Linked DNA regions of Mus musculus. The protein of the gene in region 3 purifies or fractionates together with the protein of the main gene of each other region. This does not show direct contact. Links are inferred from orthologs where the notes say so. Each region holds a gene or a part of one and is shown on either strand. Other genes may lie near its edges.

What was found. Proteins that work in one complex are often made in the same cells at the same time.
Region 1: the proteins of Znhit2 (region 3) and Ecd purify together in Homo sapiens (affinity purification with mass spectrometry; 3 studies listed by BioGRID and IntAct, counting the BioPlex papers as one, with this or other methods). This does not show direct contact. The link is inferred for Mus musculus from reciprocal best matches to the Homo sapiens genes ZNHIT2 and ECD.
Region 2: the proteins of Znhit2 (region 3) and Tssc4 purify together in Homo sapiens (affinity purification with mass spectrometry; 3 studies listed by BioGRID and IntAct, counting the BioPlex papers as one, with this or other methods). This does not show direct contact. The link is inferred for Mus musculus from reciprocal best matches to the Homo sapiens genes ZNHIT2 and TSSC4.

The regions. Positions count from the first base shown.
Region 1 is NC_000080.6:20,343,265-20,350,875, reverse strand, and holds the start of Ecd (protein ecdysoneless homolog), read left to right. Parts: upstream 1-2,754; 5' UTR 2,755-3,082; intron 3,083-4,054; 5' UTR 4,055-4,060; coding exon 4,061-4,265; intron 4,266-7,502; coding exon 7,503-7,611. Other genes in the region: Fam149b (protein FAM149B1), read right to left, coding at 2,482-2,528. UniProt on the Homo sapiens protein: Regulator of p53/TP53 stability and function. Inhibits MDM2-mediated degradation of p53/TP53 possibly by cooperating in part with TXNIP. May be involved transcriptional regulation. In vitro has intrinsic transactivation activity enhanced by EP300.
Region 2 is NC_000073.6:143,066,602-143,073,644, reverse strand, and holds Tssc4 (protein TSSC4), read right to left. Parts: upstream 4,278-7,043; 5' UTR 4,132-4,277; exon of another isoform or gene 4,011-4,131; coding exon of another isoform or gene 3,825-4,010; 5' UTR 3,795-3,824; intron 3,710-3,794; coding exon of another isoform or gene 3,689-3,709; coding exon 2,735-3,688; 3' UTR 2,558-2,734; downstream 1-2,557. Other genes in the region: Trpm5 (transient receptor potential cation channel subfamily M member 5), read left to right, coding at 411-483, 848-914, 1,209-1,297; CD81 antigen, read right to left, coding at 6,271-6,333, 6,412-6,498, 6,883-6,984. UniProt on the Homo sapiens protein: Protein associated with the U5 snRNP, during its maturation and its post-splicing recycling and which is required for spliceosomal tri-snRNP complex assembly in the nucleus.
Region 3 is NC_000085.6:6,058,301-6,064,660, forward strand, and holds Znhit2 (zinc finger HIT domain-containing protein 2), read left to right. Parts: upstream 1-2,906; 5' UTR 2,907-2,926; coding exon 2,927-4,126; 3' UTR 4,127-4,168; downstream 4,169-6,360. Other genes in the region: Fau (40S ribosomal protein S30), read left to right, coding at 1-25, 128-272, 844-899, 1,049-1,174; delta(14)-sterol reductase TM7SF2, read right to left, coding at 4,613-4,773, 5,024-5,146, 5,227-5,307, 5,522-5,690, 5,779-5,898. UniProt on the Homo sapiens protein: May act as a bridging factor mediating the interaction between the R2TP/Prefoldin-like (R2TP/PFDL) complex and U5 small nuclear ribonucleoprotein (U5 snRNP).

The DNA.
Region 1 (7,611 bases), on a different chromosome or scaffold from region 3:
ACCACTAGAGAAAAAAATTCAAGCGTACATTCTTAACTTTACAAATAAATACAATACAATTCAGTAAAATCTCGGAATGCTCACCTCCACTGAGAATGTTTGGAGCCAGACCACTTAGATTTAACACTGACTCTCACTTAGCTAATCATACATCATAAGCAGTTATTTAATTCTGTTTTAAGTGAAACGCATGCACTAGGGATTCATGATGTGTGGGCAGAGAAACTTGTAAGCCTCTGTTTAACCTACCTTGTCTCCTGGGTATGTCTGACTAGACAATTTTGTGGGGAAACAATGCCTGCTCTAGATAACTATGTCTGGAAGATAGAATAACTAATGTATTGTTTATTCCAGCAGACAAGCCCCAGCAGAAAATAGACTCCAGAGGAGTAGTGCCCAGCAGGTAGATGATTAAAAAATTATGAATGTTTTACATTTTGAGGTGGTCACACACACACACAAACCTCACACCTTGCTTATATGTGTAAATACAAATTTTAAATGAAAGTCAAGGCTGGAAATATAGCTTAGCAGTGGTACTTCCTAGCATATCTGAGGTACTAAGTTCATTTCTCAGAACCAAAAAAGGGTGTGGGAGACTACACTGAGACAATCAACCTTGCTAACCCCTTTTTAACATCTATAACTAGTAACTGCTAAAGAATGCTACTACTTCAAAATGGATGGGCTCTGTAACAGCTAACATTAAACATTCATTTAAATACACTATCATTTCTATGCATTTAATCCTCATTGCTCACTCTATTATGATTCCCTTTGGGAAAGGCTATTTTTAGGAACTATAAAAAACAGCATCAAGAACAAGTAGTACAATACACAGGGTCAGAAATTTCAGCTCAGGAGATGCCTATCCAGAGTGTCTTCATACAACATGTATTTTTAACATCTCTGGTTAGAAATAATTATAAAAGCAAATCTGGGGCTGATAAGATGGCCCAGTAAATAAAGGTACTTGCCACCAAGCCTCATGACCTGAGTTCAATCAACAAGACTCACATAATGGAATGAGTGACTCTTGGAAGCTGTCTACTAACCTCCAAATGTGTGCTATGGGCCGGGCAGTGGTGGCGCACACCTGTAATCCCAGCACTTGGGAGGCAGAGGCAGGTGGATTTCTGAGTTCAAGACCAGCATGGTCTAAAGAGTGAGTTCCAGGACAGCCAGGACTGCGCAGAGAAACCCTGTCTCAAAAAACCAAAAAAAAAAAAAAAAAAAAAAAAATCAAAAAAACAAATGTGTGCTATGGTGCACGCGCATGTGCATGATACACTAAATGGAATTTTAAAAATTAAAAGCAGATTTTAAGTTAAATCCTTCTCACTTTGGGGAAATGATTATTTCTTAGTTTTATTCCCTAAGGAGCTTATTATCTGATTTGCTGTTGTGCAAATAACATATTCCTTAATAGATAACATGCTTCTGAAAAGCAAGGAGAGGTTCTCTTCTTTGTATGGCTCTTTTACCAAGTAAAGGCGGGAAGAAGAAAGTAGTGCTATCACTTATTGAGGATCTATTATGTACCAGCCCTACGTCATCATTTTAGGTATACTTGTACATCTTAGTTGTATACATAGACAGGAAGGCCCAGATCTAGTTAAATTTCCTAAAAGCTAAGTGGCAAGAAAAGTATCCATCTAAAAATCTCAGGTGTGACTTTAAATGAATGTTATTGGAATGCATAATAAGTGTATGGCTGTTGAAATTGCTTACTTCAATGAGGAGGACCAATGGGACTTGGTTTAAACGTTCAGGCCCTATTGGGTTCAGATGTGGAAGCTTTCTAATTTTATCTGAGCAACAGAAGCTAGTTACAGCAATCTTTCAGAACTGCTGAAAGGACCAAGAAACTGCAGGTTCTTTTGAAATTGCAAAGTACCAGTCAGTAGATATAAGGCTCTATGTTACACTTTACTAAGGGTACAAAGCAGGTTTTTAAACTACCAAAGTGCTTGCTTTTTAGCATTATTTGCAGGGGGTGTGACGGCAATGTGTGAATTGCTTGACAACAGGCTTTACAATCGGATTGACCCTTGGTTTGTACGTCTGAGCTGCACCACCTTCTAGATACAACCTTTAGACCTGTGATCTTTATTTGTAGGATGTGCAAAGTTGGTCTCAACCTGATTTCGCTATTGCATTCAAGCAAACAGCTTTGCATGGTGTTCTGAACTAGACACGTTCAACGTTATTGTAGCATTTAAGCTATTATCTTCAGTGGGGTCAAAAGCACTGTGGGAACAACGGATGCAGCACTCCCTCAATTCAGGACCTAACAGTCCCAAAGGCACACCCTAAGCTGGTGACCCAAAGACAAAAGGCAGCTTCCACCAGGGCTGGGAGGTGAGAATCCGGGATAGTATTTTCCCTCCCTATGTCTGGGACGGGAAAGGAGAGGACGGGCCTTATAAGGTCCCTTGAGCTCCGGCGGCCCAAGCTGGGCGAGCAGAGCAATCCACTCACAGCTCCACGCTCTGCGGCACGGCCTTCCGAGTGTATCTGGAGATCATCCTCCTTTTTCTCCTCTGCGGCCAGGGCGGGCAAGCCAGGGCGGGGGCCTCGGGGCCTGGCCCTCCCGCCGGCTCCGGCCCGGCCCCCTCCTGCCACCTACCGGCCCCGTCTCGCCCCGTCTCGCCCCGTCGCTTAGATTCCGGACCGCCACCTCCCAGAGTTCCCACTCTATAGTCTTCCGACCTGCCTCCTTCCTCTCATGAGCGGAAGTGACGAAGGTACAGCGTCTTTCGGAAATTGGCTCCGATGCGCACTAGAGACTATACTCAGGGTTCCGAGCCTCACGACTTGCAGGCGTTCAGGCGTGGATCAGGGCCCAAGCGAACGCGAGGACCCAGCATGGGCCGGGATTGGGCGGTTGGTGGTCGCCTCTGACCAAGTGTCCTGCTGGAAGAGGCAGCCAAGGAAAGGTGCCAGAGCAGAGGCGCACGAGAGAGCTATTGAAAGGGATCGCTTTACTTTTGTCAGGTGGAAGAAGAGCGTCTAGTTTGGTGAAGGAGCACTATACCGCGCCAGGACAGTGCTCCTGGTGGCTCCTCTTCTGTACTCTCGGGTATGTCATTTTTCATTAATTCCCATGATCTCAAGTCCAATTCTGACTCTGTAAATTCTACATAAAGAGCCCTGCTTGGATTTAGGGTGAGGGTGGGTAGAGTTTTTCCTTGATCCGCCAGGGTGAGAGGCAGCACGATTCTAATTTACAGTGGTGAGTGGGTAGTTGCATAGAAGGTGCAGGTTCCTTATTGGTTCATTGCAAAGCCAAGTAAGCTTAGGAATTAAATTGCTGCGTTAGGTGGGCATCCGGAACCATGACCAATTATTTTGGGACGAAACTCCGACACGCAAGTGTTGGCACTTTTAAATCTTCTATAGAAGCCCTGTAGAGCAAGGGGCATTGCTTTTTAACGCACCTAGTAACACAATTTTAAAGGAAGGTGTTTTAGAGACGGCAGACTAACACTTTCATTTCACGACTAAGTAGAAAGCTCAAGAAAGTAAAGTGCCCAAAGTATGCCACCGACTGAAGCACGGTTGGAAGGTGTGAGAGAATAATGGATAGTAATGGAATGTTTTCAAACTGTGTTACACACACTGCTGCCGACTGAAGGGCAAACATTTATTTATTTGTGAGAAAGGATCGTCTTATGTTACCTAGCCTAGCCTCAAAATCCTGGACCCAGGTGATCCTTTTGCCTTGATCTCTCAGCTGAGACCATAGGCACACCTAGCTATTTTTAACTTTTATCCTCACATACTTCTTTGGTTTGGGAAGTGAGTTGTTGGACTTTCATTTACTCCATAATATCAAGGTTTCCAGTTCACATAATTTAATTTTAAGGAAGATAGTTTTAAGTCTGTTATTCAGAGGATAAATCAAGTGGTGTCTGGTAAAGGCCGGAACCATGATGGTAGGTGTGTATCAAATTTGGGGGAAATAATGTAGTCACCTAGAAGAATTCTGAGAATGCTGTTATTTCTCCTTTTGTGTGGCTTATGTCCCTTGAACTTTGATGGCCATTTTTAGAGAAGAATGGAGGGCAGTGGAAAGCTCGCAATGGTAGAGGATGCTGTGGAGTACCATCTCTTCCTGATACCAGATAAAGCCAGAGGCACAGAAGAGCACAGAGAGATTCTTCAGAAGTACATTGAACGGATAATGACCCAGTTCGCACCCATACTGGTCCCTTATATCTGGCAGAATCAGCCTTTCAATCTCAAATACAAGCCTGCAAAAGGTAAAGTAAGCCTTCCTTCTGAGAGACTTGTTCCATAACCTTAAAAGCCACTGACGTCTGCCCACATATAGCCAAGCCCCTAACTTTAACTCTATAGAATATCTTTATGGCTAGGGATGCGGGGACTGTGGCTGTGGTATGGACTCTCTCACTGTGCCTAAGTGTGAGTGCTGGTGCTGCGAAGGCCCAGGCTTGGGACTTAGTCACAGTTCTTTTTCTCTGCGCAGGACTTATCTCCATGATGCCTGTGGGAGGTTGCTTTGTTTCATGTAGCTGTTTTCCTGAGAATCCAAGAGTGACTTTGTCTGGCCAATAAAAACAACTAAATGGGTTTTGTTACTGTCCGTTGCCACCCAGAAGCATTTCCGGTGTCCTTTACTGCTGTCACCAGTGCTTACGTCCAACTCTAGCAAAATACAGTCATCTGTTCTGTCATGTCTTCTAACGTTATGAAAATGAATGAGTGCAGCCAGGCTGTATTTACTCAGTGACTCAGAGTGACTGTTGAGGATCGGGAGCCTTGGATCTTTGGATCCCGCCATTCCTGTTCACACTTCAGTGCTAATGTGTTAGATTTGGCTAGCAGCCGCTCGGTTTCTCCTGTGGTATTACTGTCACTGAACTTTTTTCCACCACTGGGCATTGAACCTGGGGCCTTGTGCGTTGCTAAGCAACTGGTCTGCCACTGAGCTACTTCCCCAACCCTAATTTTATTTTCTAGATACAGGCAATGTTTATTGACAGGGAGATGAGCAAATTAATGTGCCACATATAAAACGAGCCCATTAGACAGGTATGGTGGCACACACCTGTCATCTTAGCACTCCGGCCTAAGGCAGGAGAATCACCAGTTTGAGGCCAGCCCGGGTCACAGAGTGAGAGTCAGTTTCCAAACAAAAACAACCTATTATCTTTTAGAAAGCCAGGCTTACCCTGAATTTTCCACTATGTGATGGCATTGCTGAATGTTACCCAAGATGATTAGTATTTCAAATTTACAGTCCTTGCTTTGCTATGTGCCGTGAGGGACAGAGCAGGAAGACCTAGTGTCAGCACCTCCAGATACTAGGGGCTTGGTCTCAGTGTGGGAGACTCCAGCTTCTGAACTTCCCTGAGCTCCACACACCATTGGCAGGTGCCTTGGTACAGCACAGATTAGACTGTGCCACTCGCTTCCTGTGGCTGCGGGGGAGGTTTCAGTTGAAGTCTGATATATAATGCAAATGAAAATCGTACTCTGCTCTGAGCTCCTCTAGCTGGAGAGATAGGGGATTTGGTGAAGCAGCTAAGTTGAGAGGTTGTTCCTCTCACATCTTTTGGTTCTCTGTTTCTTTGGCTTGGTTTTTGCCATGGTTGCTGTGGTGCCTTGGAGTGCATTTCTCTGAGCTTCATGCGGTACATTACATCGATTGATTCCTTAACTTTTTGTTTATTTTATGTGCTTGGGTGTTTGCACATACGTATGTCAGTACAGGTCATTCACACAGTGCCCTCAGACAGAGGCAACTGGGGTCGCCAATGTTTGTGAGCCACCATGTGGGTGCTAGAAATTGCACCCAGATCCTCTGGGAGAGCAGCCACTGAGACGTTGGTTGACTCTGTATGTTGAACCATTTTTGTCGTACGGGAACAAACCCCAATCGACTGTAGTATTATAACCCCTTTCAATGTGTTGTTGAATCTGGTTAGTCATCTTTTCAGTGTTGTGATAAAAAAAAAATACCTGAGAAAAATCAACTTAAGGACTTATTTTGCTTATGGTTTCAGAGAGATCACTTGGCTCTGCTGTAACTCAGCCTGCCCTCAAACTCACAATCCTCCTGCCTCAGCCTCCCTAGCGCTAGGATTATGGGTGTGTGCCACTATGCTCAGCTGTTAGATAGAGGCTTTTGATTGCTGATCCAATATCCATCATAGTTATAAGTCTGATAATACTTTCTACTTCTTCTTGATTGCATCAAGACCTTAATTAGGGGTTTATTAATTTCATTTCTTATAGCTTTCCCAATTTCTTGGAATAAAGACATTCATAGATTCCCTTGTAACCTTTTATACTCTACAGAGAGAGTATAATGTCTCCTCTTTCACATCTGAATTTAGTTGTCTCTTCTTAGTGTAATTTTACTGACCTCTTCTCCCATTTAAAAAAACAACCCTCAGTTTGTTTCATTTATCTCTGCTGTGATTGTCTTGTTTCTCCTGCTAGGTTTATGCTTTGTTTGATGTTTTTCTTCTTTCCTAAAGTGGGAGTGCTGGTTTGAGATCTTACATAACTGTAAACTGTTACTTTAATGATTTTTGCTAAGCTATCTTACACGCGTTCACGACCGGCCAGGAAGAACACAGCAAACCAGAATCTTCTGCGGCAAAACTTTATTGCTTACATCTTCAGGAGTAAGAGTGCAAGCCCCCCATTGCTTACATCTTTAGGAGCCAGAGCGCCAGAGCGCAGAGCAAGAGCTCTATTGTTTACATCTTTAGGAGCAAGAGAGCAAGCCCAAAGCAAAAGCGAAACCCCGTCCCTATTAAGGAGAGTTATCCTTCGCCTAGGACGTATCACTCCCTGATTGGCTGCAGCCCATGGCCGAGTTGTCGTCACGGGGAAGGCAGAGCACATGGGGTGGAGAACTACCCTTGGCACATGCGCAGATTATTTGTTTACCACTTAGAACACAGCTGTCAGCGCCATCTTGTAACGGCGAATGTGGGGGTGGCTTCCCACAAAGCTATATATGAATTTTCATATATAATACTTTCATTTTTCATTTGTTCCAAGCTATTTTTTCACTTCTCCTGTGATTTTCTTTTTGGCTTTTGGTTGTTTAAGAATGTGATGTTTAGCATCTGTGTACTTAGGGTGCACCTATTTGAGAGGTTCTGTTCCACCGAAACAGAATCCTTATATCCTGTGACACTCCCTTATCTCCTGTAACTCCATGCCTCTGGCCATGCTCTCCTTTCTGGAAAGTCCATCTCTGATTGTTCTTCCGCTGTTATTACCGTACAAAATGAAGCAGGAGCCTCCTCTATGTTCACACAACCGTTAGTGGGTTTTTAAAGACGGTTTGGTTTTCTGTTCCTTTTTTGAGACCCAGACTCCTCATATCTTGCTCAGAATTGCAACCCCAGCTCCCAGAGTAATCCTTGCAATTTAGCCATGGTAAACAAGTGTTAAGTATGTTTTTCCTTGCAGGGACACACTTGCCTGGCTCACAGTCACTTCTCTCTTGTTTACAGGAGGTGTTCCTGCTCATATGTACGGCATGACAAAGTTTGGAGATAACATTGAGGATGAATGGTTTATTGTTTATGTAATAAAGCAGATTACAAAGGAATTTCCAGAGTT
Region 2 (7,043 bases), on a different chromosome or scaffold from region 3:
AGACCCAGCCCTCTTGCCCTAGGAGTGTGTGTATATGTGTGGGTTGAGAGCATAAGTCCATAATTAGGCATCTCTCTCCAATGGGACTCTTTTCCTCCTCTCTCAGGTCTGAAGATCCACGCCCAGTTGGTGCTAGATGGTGGAGGGGCTGTTCTTGAATGCTTATAGGGATGACCTAGTGTTCATCCTATTGCTTGGTGGCCTATTCCAAGCAGGGAGGGGATCTCAATCTCTTTGAGGGTACAGCAGTGCTCCATATCCATAGACAGGCCCCAGATAAAGACTGGAAGGGCAGTAAAGCAAGAGGCCAACAGTTAACTGAGGCCCTGAGAAAGCAGTTAGGACAAAAAGCTCCCCCTTGTGGAGTGACATGGAAGTGTCACAACTGAGGCTGACCCTGCTTTCTACAGAGTGGACTTGATTGCCAAATACATCGGGGGGCTGAGAGAGCAAGAAAAGAGGATCAAGTGTCTGGAATCACAGGCAAGCTAGCAACTCACTATCCATCTTTCTTCCTGGGGTGGGGGCATCCTTCTGGTTCCATGGGAACTACCACAGCCCTGTACCAGCATCCTGGTGGGTAGCATTAGGGCCTGGATAGAGTGGCCTGCCCCTGCCCCAACTCACTTTCGAGACTCATTGTTGTTCTAGAGCTGGTCCAACAAAACCTAGGTTCAGCACCACATCCGGTCACTATCCCTTATCATGCACTATGGGAGGACCTGGTCCAGAGTGTGGAGTCCCAGGGCAGCAGTAGCCCTGGCAGGAGGGCAATCACATGGGAGGAAACCAACCCGGTCCCCCCAGTCCCCACCGAAGTCTCAGTACCTCCCTTGGCTCTCTCCAGGCCAACTACTGTATGCTCCTCTTGTCCTCTATGACGGATACACTGGCTCCAGGAGGCACCTACTCAAGTAAGTATGGGTTCAGGCCATGGGAATGAGATGGGTATGGGCTCCTCCCTTCAGCCACTAGATTAGGGCAAGAGCAAAGCTGCGGGCTGTGTATTGTATTAGGTCCTGCCTTCTCCACCTGTGCTAGAGGTCGGTTACCCTCGGCAGGCCACTGTTCCTTAGTGTCCCAAGGCTCTGCCTAGCACTGGCCTTGCTAGCCTTGCCACTTTCCATGTCCTGGCCCTTGCCTCACTCCTGCCCTGCCCCAGCTGAGGCTCTCCAGCTGAGGGTCCTTTCTCCCTTTCTTGCTCCCAGGCTCTCAGAACTGTGGTTGCAGGAGTCAGCCAGCCTCTGCTAGAGACAGGGAGTACCTAGAGTCTGGCTTGCCACCCTCTGACACCTGAAATGGAGAAACCACTTGCTCTAGAGCCCCAGACCTGGCCACATCGAGTTTTTGGGGCACATCAACCTTCCCCCACTCCCAGCAGCCCCAAGAAATGGTCTTCAAGGCCTTGCTACAGATCACTTCTTGGACATCCCTTCCTAAGAGAATGAAACTCATGTCTTTGGCATCTATTCGGGAGCCTCAGAAGTATCCTCTCCAGCAGGGCAAGATTTTTCATGTCCCACTAAAGCTTTCACTGGCTTGGACTGGACAGCTGGATCTGGCCAAGTCCTACATAGGACACCATCTGCCTGGATGGGGCTATTTAGGTCTAACCCCTGTCTTACCCTGAGTTCCTAAGAAGCCAACCTCTTAAACACTAGGTTTCTTTCTGACCCCTGACCCACTCATTAGCTGACCAGCTCCTAGAGGGCAGGACTCAGATCTATTGTAATTACCTCCCATCTTTCACCCCCCACAGCATTATCTGTCTGATCATTCTGGCAGAAACCCCAAGATATTGCTCAAGGGTACCCAATGCTACTTTACTTTCTATAAAGCCTGTAGACCACCTCAAATCAGCTAAACTGGGCCACAATGGTGGCTAAACGGGACATTTCAAACACCCGGGGAATATGGAGGATTGTCTGACCTAGTGAAAGGCATCTCCGTTCCTTCCACTGCTCCTCAAATTAAATGACCATCCAGGTCCTTTTTAGAGGAACTCAGAGAATGGGGACTACAGAGGCTGGGGCAGACCTGGGTCTTAGCAGGTCTAGCTAACTTGGTCCAAGTCCCTGGCCTCCACAGGAAACATTCGCTCATGCATCCTCCCTGCATCCTTCTCTTCTTCTCTGGCTCAGCTTCAGTGGAATGACCCAGCATCAGCTGTGTCTTACACACACAAGTCCTGGAGACACAGCCAGACACCAACCATATGCTGCTTCACAACTCATCCTCTTCCTATAACCTGTGGTCTGTACAGGCCCAGTGCTGGGGCTGCATTGGTTTCTGGGGGTGGGGGTGGGGGTGGGTTGTGCAGATTATGCTCATTCACTACCATCAGGGGCACAAGGCTGAACACAGCTAAGAGCCCAGTCCCTCTGGGTAGTTTCATCAGTGACAAATGTAAATGACCATGGCAAACCTTCACGGCAGTCCTCACTGGAGTGGGGAAGGCAAGGTGAGGCTGCCAGAGATGCAGTCCTGTAGTTGGCTGCCCAGGACTGTTTGGACAGAACTCTTTGAGTGGGGCCCGGAAAAAGCCACACAATTCAAGAAATATTCCAAACGTTTATTATTCATCCTAAACACTGGGGCACAAAGGCCTTCGAGGTCCCCTGACCCACAATTCCCACAGTCTCTGCCAGAGCGGCTGCACACATCCCCCTACCACAGACAGCCCACACCTTCCCACTTGGACTAGCAGGTGAGGGGTAGAGTGATAGCACTGCAGTCAAACTGAGGGTCCTCTCTCAGACCCCGGCCCCCCAGGGTTACCGTCCCTGTTCCGGAAGTGGTCTCTGCTCCGCTTCTTGCTGCCATGGAAACCAACAGCCTTCACACCTATGGGGCCTGATGAGGACTCAGGATGGGCAGCTTCTGAAGGTACCACCACCTCTGGCTGTCCCTGGTGGCCACTCCATTCCTCAGCCTCAGGTCCAGCGAGATGGGCTAGCTCCACAGCGGCCTCACCCCCCGCACCTGACCCAACCCCCTTCTTTAGGACCCTCTTCCTCTCAGCCCTAGCCTCACTGTCCCTCACTGGTTTGGTGAAGACCACTCTTCCCTCCCCACAGCTAGAGGGGTCCTGGTTGAAAGAAGGCACATAGTCTGTGTGGGACACCTGGCTTCGAGAGCTCAGGAAGGCCAGGGCAGCATCACGATTGCTCTGCTCACTGGCTTCAGACACATCCTCCAGACTGTATTTGGTCCAACGCTCAGGGTGTGACACATAGTCAGGGACTGGGAGTACCCTAGTCGGGCCAGTGTTCCCATGCACTCTGCTCAGGCCCCTTGCTGGAGTCTGACTTGGGGGAGTCACGGGCCGCCTGAAGCTGCCATTGTCACTCACACTGGTTTGGGGAGCAGAGCACGGTGCCTGCCGGGCTGCACTCTCCAGACAATCAAAGATGCTGTGGCTGCGCTGGGAGAAGGTAGAACTCATGCCTCGGAGGTGGAATGGCTGCACTGCAGTGGTGAGGGTGCCCGTGGGGGGCGATGGAGGGTCCTCAGGGCCGGAGTCCTCCTGGCCCTCCTCCGAAAGCCTCTCTGGGGACAACACTTGGACCTCCACACCACTAGGTAAGCTAAGGTCCGAGTCCGAGTCGCTGAGGGAGACGGTGTCAGAAGGCAGGGTGTCATCCTCGGTGGGTTCATCAGCCTCCAGGCCAGCCTCTGTCTCCGCCATACGACCTGACACCCGTCCCACCTGTAGCGAAGCAGTCCCAGTTCCGCCGTGAGGGGTGTATTTAAGGCCTCATCCCTCCCCGTCCTCCCAGGCTCCCGTCTTTCACCTCCACTATGTGTCAAGTGCCTCTACTCACAGCCGGACGGGAGGCCTCGCGAAGCTGGGTGGTTAAAGGGTATCCTAGCGCGCACAGATACAGGAGCTGCAGGTTAGGTGGGGTTAAGGAGAGAGTCAACCATGAGATCATAACAGTGTGGACATACAATAGATGAGCACTGGGAGATGCTGGTGACAGGAGATCTCCATCAGCTGCTTGTCCCATCACGGGCTCTCAGTAAAGCGCAGCCTCTCTAGGTACAAGCGCCACCCGGGTCCGGACGAAGGGCTGGCAGAAACAGGCACGGGAATGCCCTGGCCGCGGCCTTAGGGAGGCCAGTGCTCACCGTTCCAGCGTCCGTACACGCCTCAATACCCTGCCGCCTTTCTCGCAGCGTCCCGCCAGTTCCCCGGGATTCGGTCCTGTCCAGTCTCGCTCGGGTTCCTGGGAAACCGAGTCTCGGGCGATCAGATTTTCGTGGCTTCAGCGCCCGAGAAACTACAACTCCCAGAAGGCAATGGGTTCCCGCCTAATGTCAGCCGGGACTTGTAACCTTAACAAGCGTGCCAACCCGGAGCGCACACGGAAACCCACCCAGAAATGACGAAAAAGGAAAAGGCGGAGCCACGGTTCCCACAATACTCCAGGGCTAACTGCCAATCGCAAAGGGTTGAGGCCTGCAGCTTCGCCTGTCGGAAGCCGTCCCGGCCGGGTCCGACACAAGGAGGAAGTGCGTCACCACGCACTGTGAGCGCCAACCAGTTTCCTAGACATTTCCGGCCCTGGGCGGAAGTGGTGTGGGTCTTGTGCTTTGTTGGCTTTCTGGAGTGAGGCGGGGCCAAGGTCCTGGTTGGCTCTTGGCATGAAGAGACGTAGTGGTCCCTGGGGTGGGTTGGTTGGGGCTTCAGAGATTCGAAGCCGCTATCCTGGGCTCTGCCTGTCTGTGCTTCCTGACGCAGGAACGGACACTTTAGTTGCAGGACGCCGCCCCTACTAGTCAAGGCCACACATAATCCTCCTCCAGGCGTGGGGCTGTTTTCTTGTATCCTTAGGGATCAGAGTCTGAGACACCATGGGGCTGCTGCATGCGCCTCTCCTTTCCTATGTTTCTGAAGCTGTGCAGCAGGCCTCCAACAGCTTTGGCCTGGTGCCCATGGACCTCATAACATAGGATATAAAGGGCTCCTCAGACCAGAAACCAACCAAGCACGGAACAGGTTGCATAGGCGTGGGAGGTAGAGGTGGCGGAGACCTAGAATGTCCTAGTACAAGCTTGGGGTTCACCGACAAATAAGCCTACTGGGAGGCTGCTAGAAGCTGGGCCATGAATCTTGGCTAGGGCGTCTCTCCTCTAGTGGCCAATTAACTATGCCAGCAGCCTGGGGGAGGGGCGCAGACAGGAGACAAAGGGAAAGAGACAGTGGTGGTTGCCCCTGGCGTCCGGGAGGTTGCTTAGCCTGATCCTCAGTTCACAGGGGTAAGTGAACTGCCATCTTGCCTTTTACTTATTGAGACACAAGCCAGAGCCACCCAGCTCCGTGGAATCTTTTCTTGAGATGGATGGGGTAATGGGCTAACCTTTACTGTCTTGTCCCTGAAAAGGAGGGTGTTCTTGCAGCTTATCTCCATCATTCTGTGCTGAATTTCCCTGCTTAGGTGGCTCCTCCTACCCGACTCAGCCTGACCTGTCATGTCCAACAGATGAGTGGAAATGAGGTCAAGGCTGGCGTAAAGTCAGCATTGAGCTCCCAGTATAAGGAGGTACAAATGAGGGAGGACCCATATGGAGTGCTCCCAGGGTCCCAGCCCTCCCCACCCACTGTGTTCCACAGCCTCTATTGGACCTGCTCACCCTGTGCCTGGCAAAGTTCAGAGCTGATGAGCCAGGTCTCTGACACCGCTAGCACAGGAAGAGGTCTGGCAGTCCCATTAGCATGCCTGATTTTTTTCCTCCTTTATTAAATGACTGTTTCAAGATTTAATTACAGTTGAAGGTGACACGTTAGAAAGAATAAGTGCATTGAAGGCATAAGAGGGCTTACAAACCCAGCTCTTGAAATGGAGGCAGGAAAGGAACAAAGATTAAAAAGATGTGAGCAATGTGACCCACAGTGGGTTGAGTGGGTGGGCATGGCCCTCTAGCTAGGCTACAAAGCCTCTGGGCAAGTAGCTGTAGAGGAGGTTTGGCTCAGCAGGCAGAACTCTCCAGGGGTCCCAGACGTACAGGGCCCTGCAAGCCAGGGCCAGCTCCACCCCTACATCCCACATATGCCACCCATGTGTGATGTCAGCTCCCAAAAGGTAACAGGAAAAGTTCAGGACAAAAAAAAAAACTAAAACAAAAACAAAACAAAACAAAACAAAAAACTCAAAAGTAAAAAGACTAAGTGTAGCAGAGTGATACAGAAATATTATATACACAGGCCATGTCCCCCAAGGTGGCCTCTGGTCACTCCAGGGATCCTCTGGTGCAATGCAAAGGGCCTCAGTACACGGAGCTGTTCCGGATGCCACAGCACAGCACCATGCTCAGAATCATCTCAAAGATCTGCAGGAGGGAGGGGCATAGTCAGCACCTAAGGCCCTGGGAAGGATCCCACCCACCCACCAGAGACCCTGTGCTTACCATAATGACAGCTACCACAATGGCTGCAATTCCAATGAGGTACAGCTTCCCAGAGAAGAGCTCATCGATTTTCTGATGACAATCTTGCTGCAGGGATGGCAAGAGCGTGGTTAACCATCAGTGGCTAAGTCACAGCCACCACCCTACTCAGTGACAGGACCTATGTATCACAGCTTATCTTCCACCCCAAAACAAATTTAAGACACACGGACCTGCTGCCTGCAGCCTTTTGTCACAGGGGAGTGTTTTTTTACCTCACTAGCACCCTAGGGTCACCAGGGTATGAGGGACCACTCAAGAGAACAGTTTTCTGGGATGTTGCAGGGGTTAACTCAAGCTGTGAGGACCCGGTACCCCAGTAATAGAGATGGTCTATGGGACTTCTGAGGTCTTGCTCAAAGTGCTGATCTTCCTGATTGGCCACACCACCCTACCGACCACCACCACCACCTCATCCCCACTCCATGCTACCTGCAGTAAGGGGGTGAGTATGTTGCCGCCTGAGGGACACAGGCTGTTCCTCAGTATGGTGGTAGTCAGTGTGGTCAGTGCGTTGGAGCCACAACAGTTGAGCTGCAGGGACCAAGAACAACACTGTCAGCTTTGGAGCTTCAGGAGACAAGGGAAAGATC
Region 3 (6,360 bases):
CCAGGAGACGGTCGCCCAGATCAAAGTAAGTATGTACTGATCCCTGATTCCTAACTGCACTCCTTTACCTCCAGGCCCACGGGGAAAGTTTGTCTACTTATAAACATTGCTCCTTTTTTTCCTTAAGGATCATGTGGCCTCCCTGGAAGGCATTGCCCCCGAAGATCAAGTCGTGCTTCTGGCAGGCTCGCCGCTGGAGGATGAGGCCACCCTAGGCCAGTGTGGCGTAGAGGCCCTGACCACTCTGGAAGTAGCAGGCCGCATGCTGGGAGGTGAGTGCTTTTTTTCAGAGCTAATGGAATGTCTGTAGGTAAACCATGTGATAGGTCCTTTCTCTGATAGTATACTTGTGCCTTCTAGGGACTTTAGATCGTAGTGATAGTTAAGTCTGGTTTTCAGTATCCCCACTAAAACCTGGTGGTAGGGAGGCAGTGACGCAATCGGATCACTGTGAATTCCAGGCCAACCAGGGCTACACAGAGGAGCTCTGTCTAGGAAAAAAGCAAAAGGAAAGTAATAATAATTAAAGTCTTGTTATTAGGTTCTCAGTGTGCTCCTCCTGTCTTTGCTCTGTGTGTAGAATGTTAGCTAAGAGTATGGATTGGTTTTTAGAGTCCTTGCCTTAGTATCTGTCAGCTCTCAGCACTGCACAAACTGGTTGTGACTTGAAGTGGAAGACAAGACGTGGACAGCTATGTTGTGACCCTGTCTCTAAGCCTGTGCAACTTTCATTCTTTGTTGGGCCCAACTTGTCATTAAAAAGCTCAAGAGTTGAGGGAGGAAGAGTTGCTCTGGGCGTGACCTTGCTACTTAACCTGATCCCTTTCCCCACCCCTAACACAGGTAAAGTTCACGGTTCCCTGGCTCGGGCTGGAAAAGTGAGAGGTCAGACTCCCAAGGTGAGTGATTGGTGTTTGGACTTTGTTTCTTTCTATCACAGCCAAGTGAAGGCCTTTGGATTTCCCGTCTGTGTTCTCTTATGGAGAGAAGCTGGTGGGCAGGCATGGGAGAGGTCACCCAGGGTCTGATCAGTCCTTCCTTTCCTCAGGTGGCCAAACAGGAAAAGAAGAAGAAGAAGACAGGCCGGGCCAAGAGGCGAATGCAGTACAACCGGCGCTTTGTCAATGTTGTGCCCACCTTTGGGAAGAAGAAGGGCCCCAATGCCAATTCCTAAGTCCTATTGCCACCCTGCCATGCTAATAAAGCCACTGTGTCCAGACTTCTTATGTTTTCTTCATTTGTAAGGCTGTGACTAGAGGCTAGCAAAGTGCCTTGGTCTCAAGTAGGAAAAAAAGGGGGGGGGCAGTGGTGGGGCACGCCTTTAATCCCAGCACTTGGGAGGCTGAGGCAGGTGGATTTATGAGTTGGAGGCCAGCCTGGTCTACAAAGTGAGTTCCAGGACAGCCAGGGCTACACAGAGAAGCCCTGTCTTGAAAAACAAAACAAAAAAACAAGGAATCCTTAGAAGATCACAGAGGATGTGTTTACTGAAAGGATAGCTGAGCCGAAATACAGAAATGTGACAAGTGGTATTGGAAAGGTACAGATTCTATGGGCTCTGCCAGACAGCTTTTGGGTTTGTGTTGGTTCACTTTCCATTATGACGGCACTAGTGTTTTTGTTACAGGCATGCCCTATAGATGATCCACTAAGGCAGATCACCCATCTACCCCTCTATAGACCTCATAATGCTTAACAATACAAACTAAATTTCAACACAACTTGAGGGAAAACATTGTTTTTTTTTTTTTGTTTGTTTTTTAAGATTTATTTATTTATTATATGTAAGTACACTGTAGCTGTCCTCAGACACTCCAGAAGGAGTCAGATCTCATTACAGATGGTTGTGAGCCACCATGTGGTTTCTGGGATTTGAACTCGGGACCTTTGGAAGAGCAATCGGGTGCTCTTACCCACTGAGCCATCTCACCAGCCCACATTGTTGGTTTTTAAAAGAGATTTATTTATTATATGTAAGTACACTGTAGCTGACTTCAGACACCTCAGAAGAGGGCATCAGATCTCATTATGGATGGTTGTGAGCCACCATGTGGTTACTGGGATTTGAACTCAGGACCTCTGGAAGTAGTCAGTGCTCTTAACTGCTAAGCCATCTTTCCAGCCCCTCGTTATCGTTTTGTTGTTTTTTGTTTGTTTGTTTGTTTGATTCAGGGTCTCACATAGGCCCAGGCTGGCCTCAATTTGATATGCTTACGTGTTACGTATTTTGAGCTCCAGATTTGTTAAACATGTCGGGTTTATTCATTTATTTTTGTCTGTTATTATTATCAATAATATTTTTTCGAGACAGGGTTTCTCTGTGTAGCCCTGGCTGTCCTGGAACTCACTCTGTAGACCAGGCTGGCCTCGTAACTCAAAAATCCGCCTGCCTCAGCCTCCCAAGTGCTGGGATTAAAGGCGTGCGCCACCACTGTCCGGCCTGTTGTTATTATTTTGTTGGCCTTTTCTTTTTTCAAGATAGAGCATGACTATGTAGCTGTATCCTGGAAAGCACTGACTACAGGAACTCACAGAAATCAGACTACCTTTGCCAACGCTGGGATTAAAAGCGTATGCCACTACGCCCTGCTAAGACCCTGGTGTGTTGTTTGGTGGTGGTGGTGGTTAGTTTTGTTATTTAAAAGGTAGTTTATTTTTGTACAATTTGGTACAACCATAAAGAACAAACTGGGATTAGCGACATGATTTTCCCAAATTCGGCGAGCAAACCTGTTCCTTTGGAAGAGTTTGGACGACTTCTGCGCTTGCTCAAAGAAGTACTGGAGACACGAAAGTTACCGAGAAGTTTCGGAAATGTGCGGAAAGGAGGCCACGCCCGCCAACCACCCCCACACATAAAGGCGGAAATAACCAAAGAAGCGCCGGAAGTGGCGGAGCTGATACGGGACAGGCGGCACCAGTTTCCATGGAGCCCGCTGGGCTCTGCGGCTTCTGCCCGGCCGGGGAAGCGCTGCCTGCGCGCTACACCTGCCCGCGCTGCAATGCTCCCTACTGCTCGCTGCGCTGCTACCGGGCGCACGGCGCCTGCGCCGAAGACTTTTACCGCGACCAAGTGCTGCGAGAGCTCCGTGGCCGAAGCGCTTCGCCCAGCCGTCTGGCGGGCGCGTTACGCCGGCTGCGCGAACAACGCGAGGCCGAGGATGAGCCCGAGGAAGCAGGCCTCGGGCCCGGGGCGCGGCCGGGCGGCCTTTCTGGACTTTGGGAACGTTTAACGCCGGCTGAGAAGGCGGCGTTCGAGCGGCTGCTGAGCCGTGGCGAAGCCGGACGCCTTCTGCCTCCGTGGCGGCCCTGGTGGTGGGGCCGCGGCACCGGCCCACGTTTGCTGGAGGAGCTGGATCATGCCGCGAACAGAGATCTTGCGGAGCCGGAGCCCGCCCCTGCGAGGACCGCGCTGCAATCTGGGGATGATGCCGCTGCCGCAGAGCCATTTGCTGAAGACTCCTGTGCCGCCAGACCGCTAGCATTGCCTGCTCGCATCCCAGCACTGGCCAGTCTGAGCCGCAGCCCGGCATCGCCGCTGGTGCGCTTCCAGCTGCCCAACGTGCTGTTCGCCTACGCTCATACTCTCGCCCTGTATCATGGAGGGGACGACGACGCGCTACTCTCTGACTTCTGTGCCACCCTGCTCGATGTTTCTGGGGCCCTGGGAGCCCAGCAAGTCTTTGGCTCTACAGAGGAAGCCCTGCAGGCCGCAGCCCACGTACTGGAAGCGGGCGAGCACCCACCTGGGCCCCTGGGTACGCGGGGTGCTATGCAAGAAGTTGCCCGAATCCTGCTGGGCGAGGGTCCAGTCAATCAGAAAGGCTACACTCTGACAGCACTGGGGCACCTAGCTCAGACCCTGGGACGAGCCCGGAAGCAGGCTGTGATTGGTGGAGAGCGAGATCGACTTTACCGGGCTCGGAAGAAGTGCCAGTTCCTGCTGGCTTGGACCAACGAAAACGAGGCTGCCCTCACACCCCTGGCGCTAGACTGTGCCAGAGCCCACCGAGCCCATGCTGTGACAGCTGAGGAGATGGCAACGCTTACTGGAGAGTTAGAACGGCTTTGGGGAGGCCCAGTGCCACCCACTCCAAGGACTCTCATTGAGGAACTCCCTGGCTGAACTGGGTATCCATGTCATTAATAAAGATGTGTCTGGTCTGCCCGAATGTCAGCAGTGCCTTTTCCGTAAAGATAGTGCCCTGTCCTAGGCTTCTCTTGAAGTTACTGTGTAGTTGAGGATGACCCTGGAACTTTGATCTGTCACCCACCTGGACAGTGAGAGGTTACAGGGGTTAACCACCTTGCTAATGTACACAGTGCTGAATAGCCGAGGCGTCCTGTGTGCTACACAAGCACTCTATAACTGAACTACATCACATCCCCCAGGCCTGAGGTGCCCAGTTGTCTCTCCTCGTCAGACTTTTGGACCCACAAACCACTTCTAAGCTTTCCTTAGTCAACTAGTCACCCCCAAGCCTCAAGTCACTGGCCCCAGGATAGAAGAAAAACACAGGAAAGGTTGAAAACATTTATTCAACAGGGAAAAATACTTTCCTTCTGGAAGCAGTGGCTTCCTCTTGCTTTCAACCTCTTAGGTGGACCTGCTTCAGTAGACATAGGGTATGATTCGGTAAGGCACACGCTTGCAGTACTCCTGCCAGGCACGGCCATACTTTTGGAGGCACTGCTGCTCATCTCTGGCCTCGCGGTGCACCAGCAGTGCAGTGAAGTAGAGGACGTAGAAGTAGGGCAGCAGATGGGATAGCCCTGGAGGGAAGGGACCCATGGGATAGCCCTGGAGGGAAGGGACCCATGGGATAGCCCTGGAGGGAAGGGACCCATGGGATAGCCCTGGTGGGAAGGGGCTGCATGATCAGGCACTAGCACCCATTTCATATAAAAGCTTTCACAGCTGATGGCACACAGGGTGTCGGGTCATAGGTTTTGTGTCCACCTCCATTAACTGATTAGTCAGTCCTCCCACCAGGCACACCGACCTACTCCAAAACCCACTCACCACAGGGCAAAGACCATGCCAGAGCCATGATGAGATCTCCCAGGTAGTTGGGGTGTCGAACCATACCCCACCACCCAGACACCAGCAGCTGCCTCCCCGTGGCAGTCGGGATGGTCTCAAGACCTAGAAATACAGCTAATGAAACGGAACCACAGAGCCTTCCTGGTTCATCTCACCCATAACCTCTAAGAGACCCAGCTTACCAGCCACGCTGGGGTCAGAAGGATTCTTCCTGAATGTGTTTTTCTGGGAGTTGGCCCCTCGGAAGATGTAGTAACCAATAACTGAGGGAAGGTACGGTACGAGCAGGTGGTGAGGTAGGAGTCCCAGCCTTTTGCCTAACCCTGACCAAAGCCTGTCCAAATCCCAGGCTCTGCTATGATACCCAGGAGCTGGCTTCCAGCTTTAGAGAAGCGTCAGAGCCTAGGCCCTACCTGAGGGGTACTGAATAAAGCATGAATAGAAGGGGAAGGGGAAATGAAGGGCCCTCCTACTGACCCTTAAGGAGGCAGATGAGCAAGGCCATGGGCAACCCCAGAGGCTGTGGATGGTACAACAGGAACTGGGCCTGCAGGCTGTAGGTGAATGGTACCCAAGCTAGATCTCCAAAGACCAGCATGAAGCCAAAACCATCATGTATTATGTCCATGGTGGTGAGGACAGACTCCTGCAGGAACATGACCCAGATACTGGCTTAGTCCAGATGACATCCTCAAGATCCCCTGCTTGCCTCTTGCTCTCCAATCCAGTCTCACCTCATACCAGAGGGCATCACCCACATACAGCAACTGGAAGCCATTGACCAGCCACATAGCCAGGGAAGGACTCCCCCGAAGCTCTGCCTCCTGCATCAGCAGGGCCAGGTTAATGAAAACCTAAAGGAAGTGAGGACAGGGCCATTGTCTGAAGTGGAGCATCTGGGTAGAACAGTGCCGACCTCGCCCTCCTTCCAGCTGCCCGCTCACATGTTGAATGGATCCAGGTCGTGTACTCGAGACACACTGGATTGCGACTCTGCCTTGACTTAAAACTCCTGCCTTGGAATCTGAGCTTTATCACTTGGGCAGAATATGTCTCTTTGCTAAAACTCACGTCCCCACTGCCATATGGAAACAGGAGTAATCAGGGCCCCGCCTTGAGTTCTTGTTGGAACACTAATATGTTTGTAGAGCTAAGAATTGGCTTATTATGAACCTAAATTTTGTACCCTCTTCCTCCTCCTCCTCCCTTTTTTTTTTTTTTTTTTTTCCGAGACAGGGTTTCTCTGTATAGTCTTGGCTGTCCTGGAACTCACTTTGTAGACCAGGCTGGCCTCGAACTCAGAAATCCACCTGTCT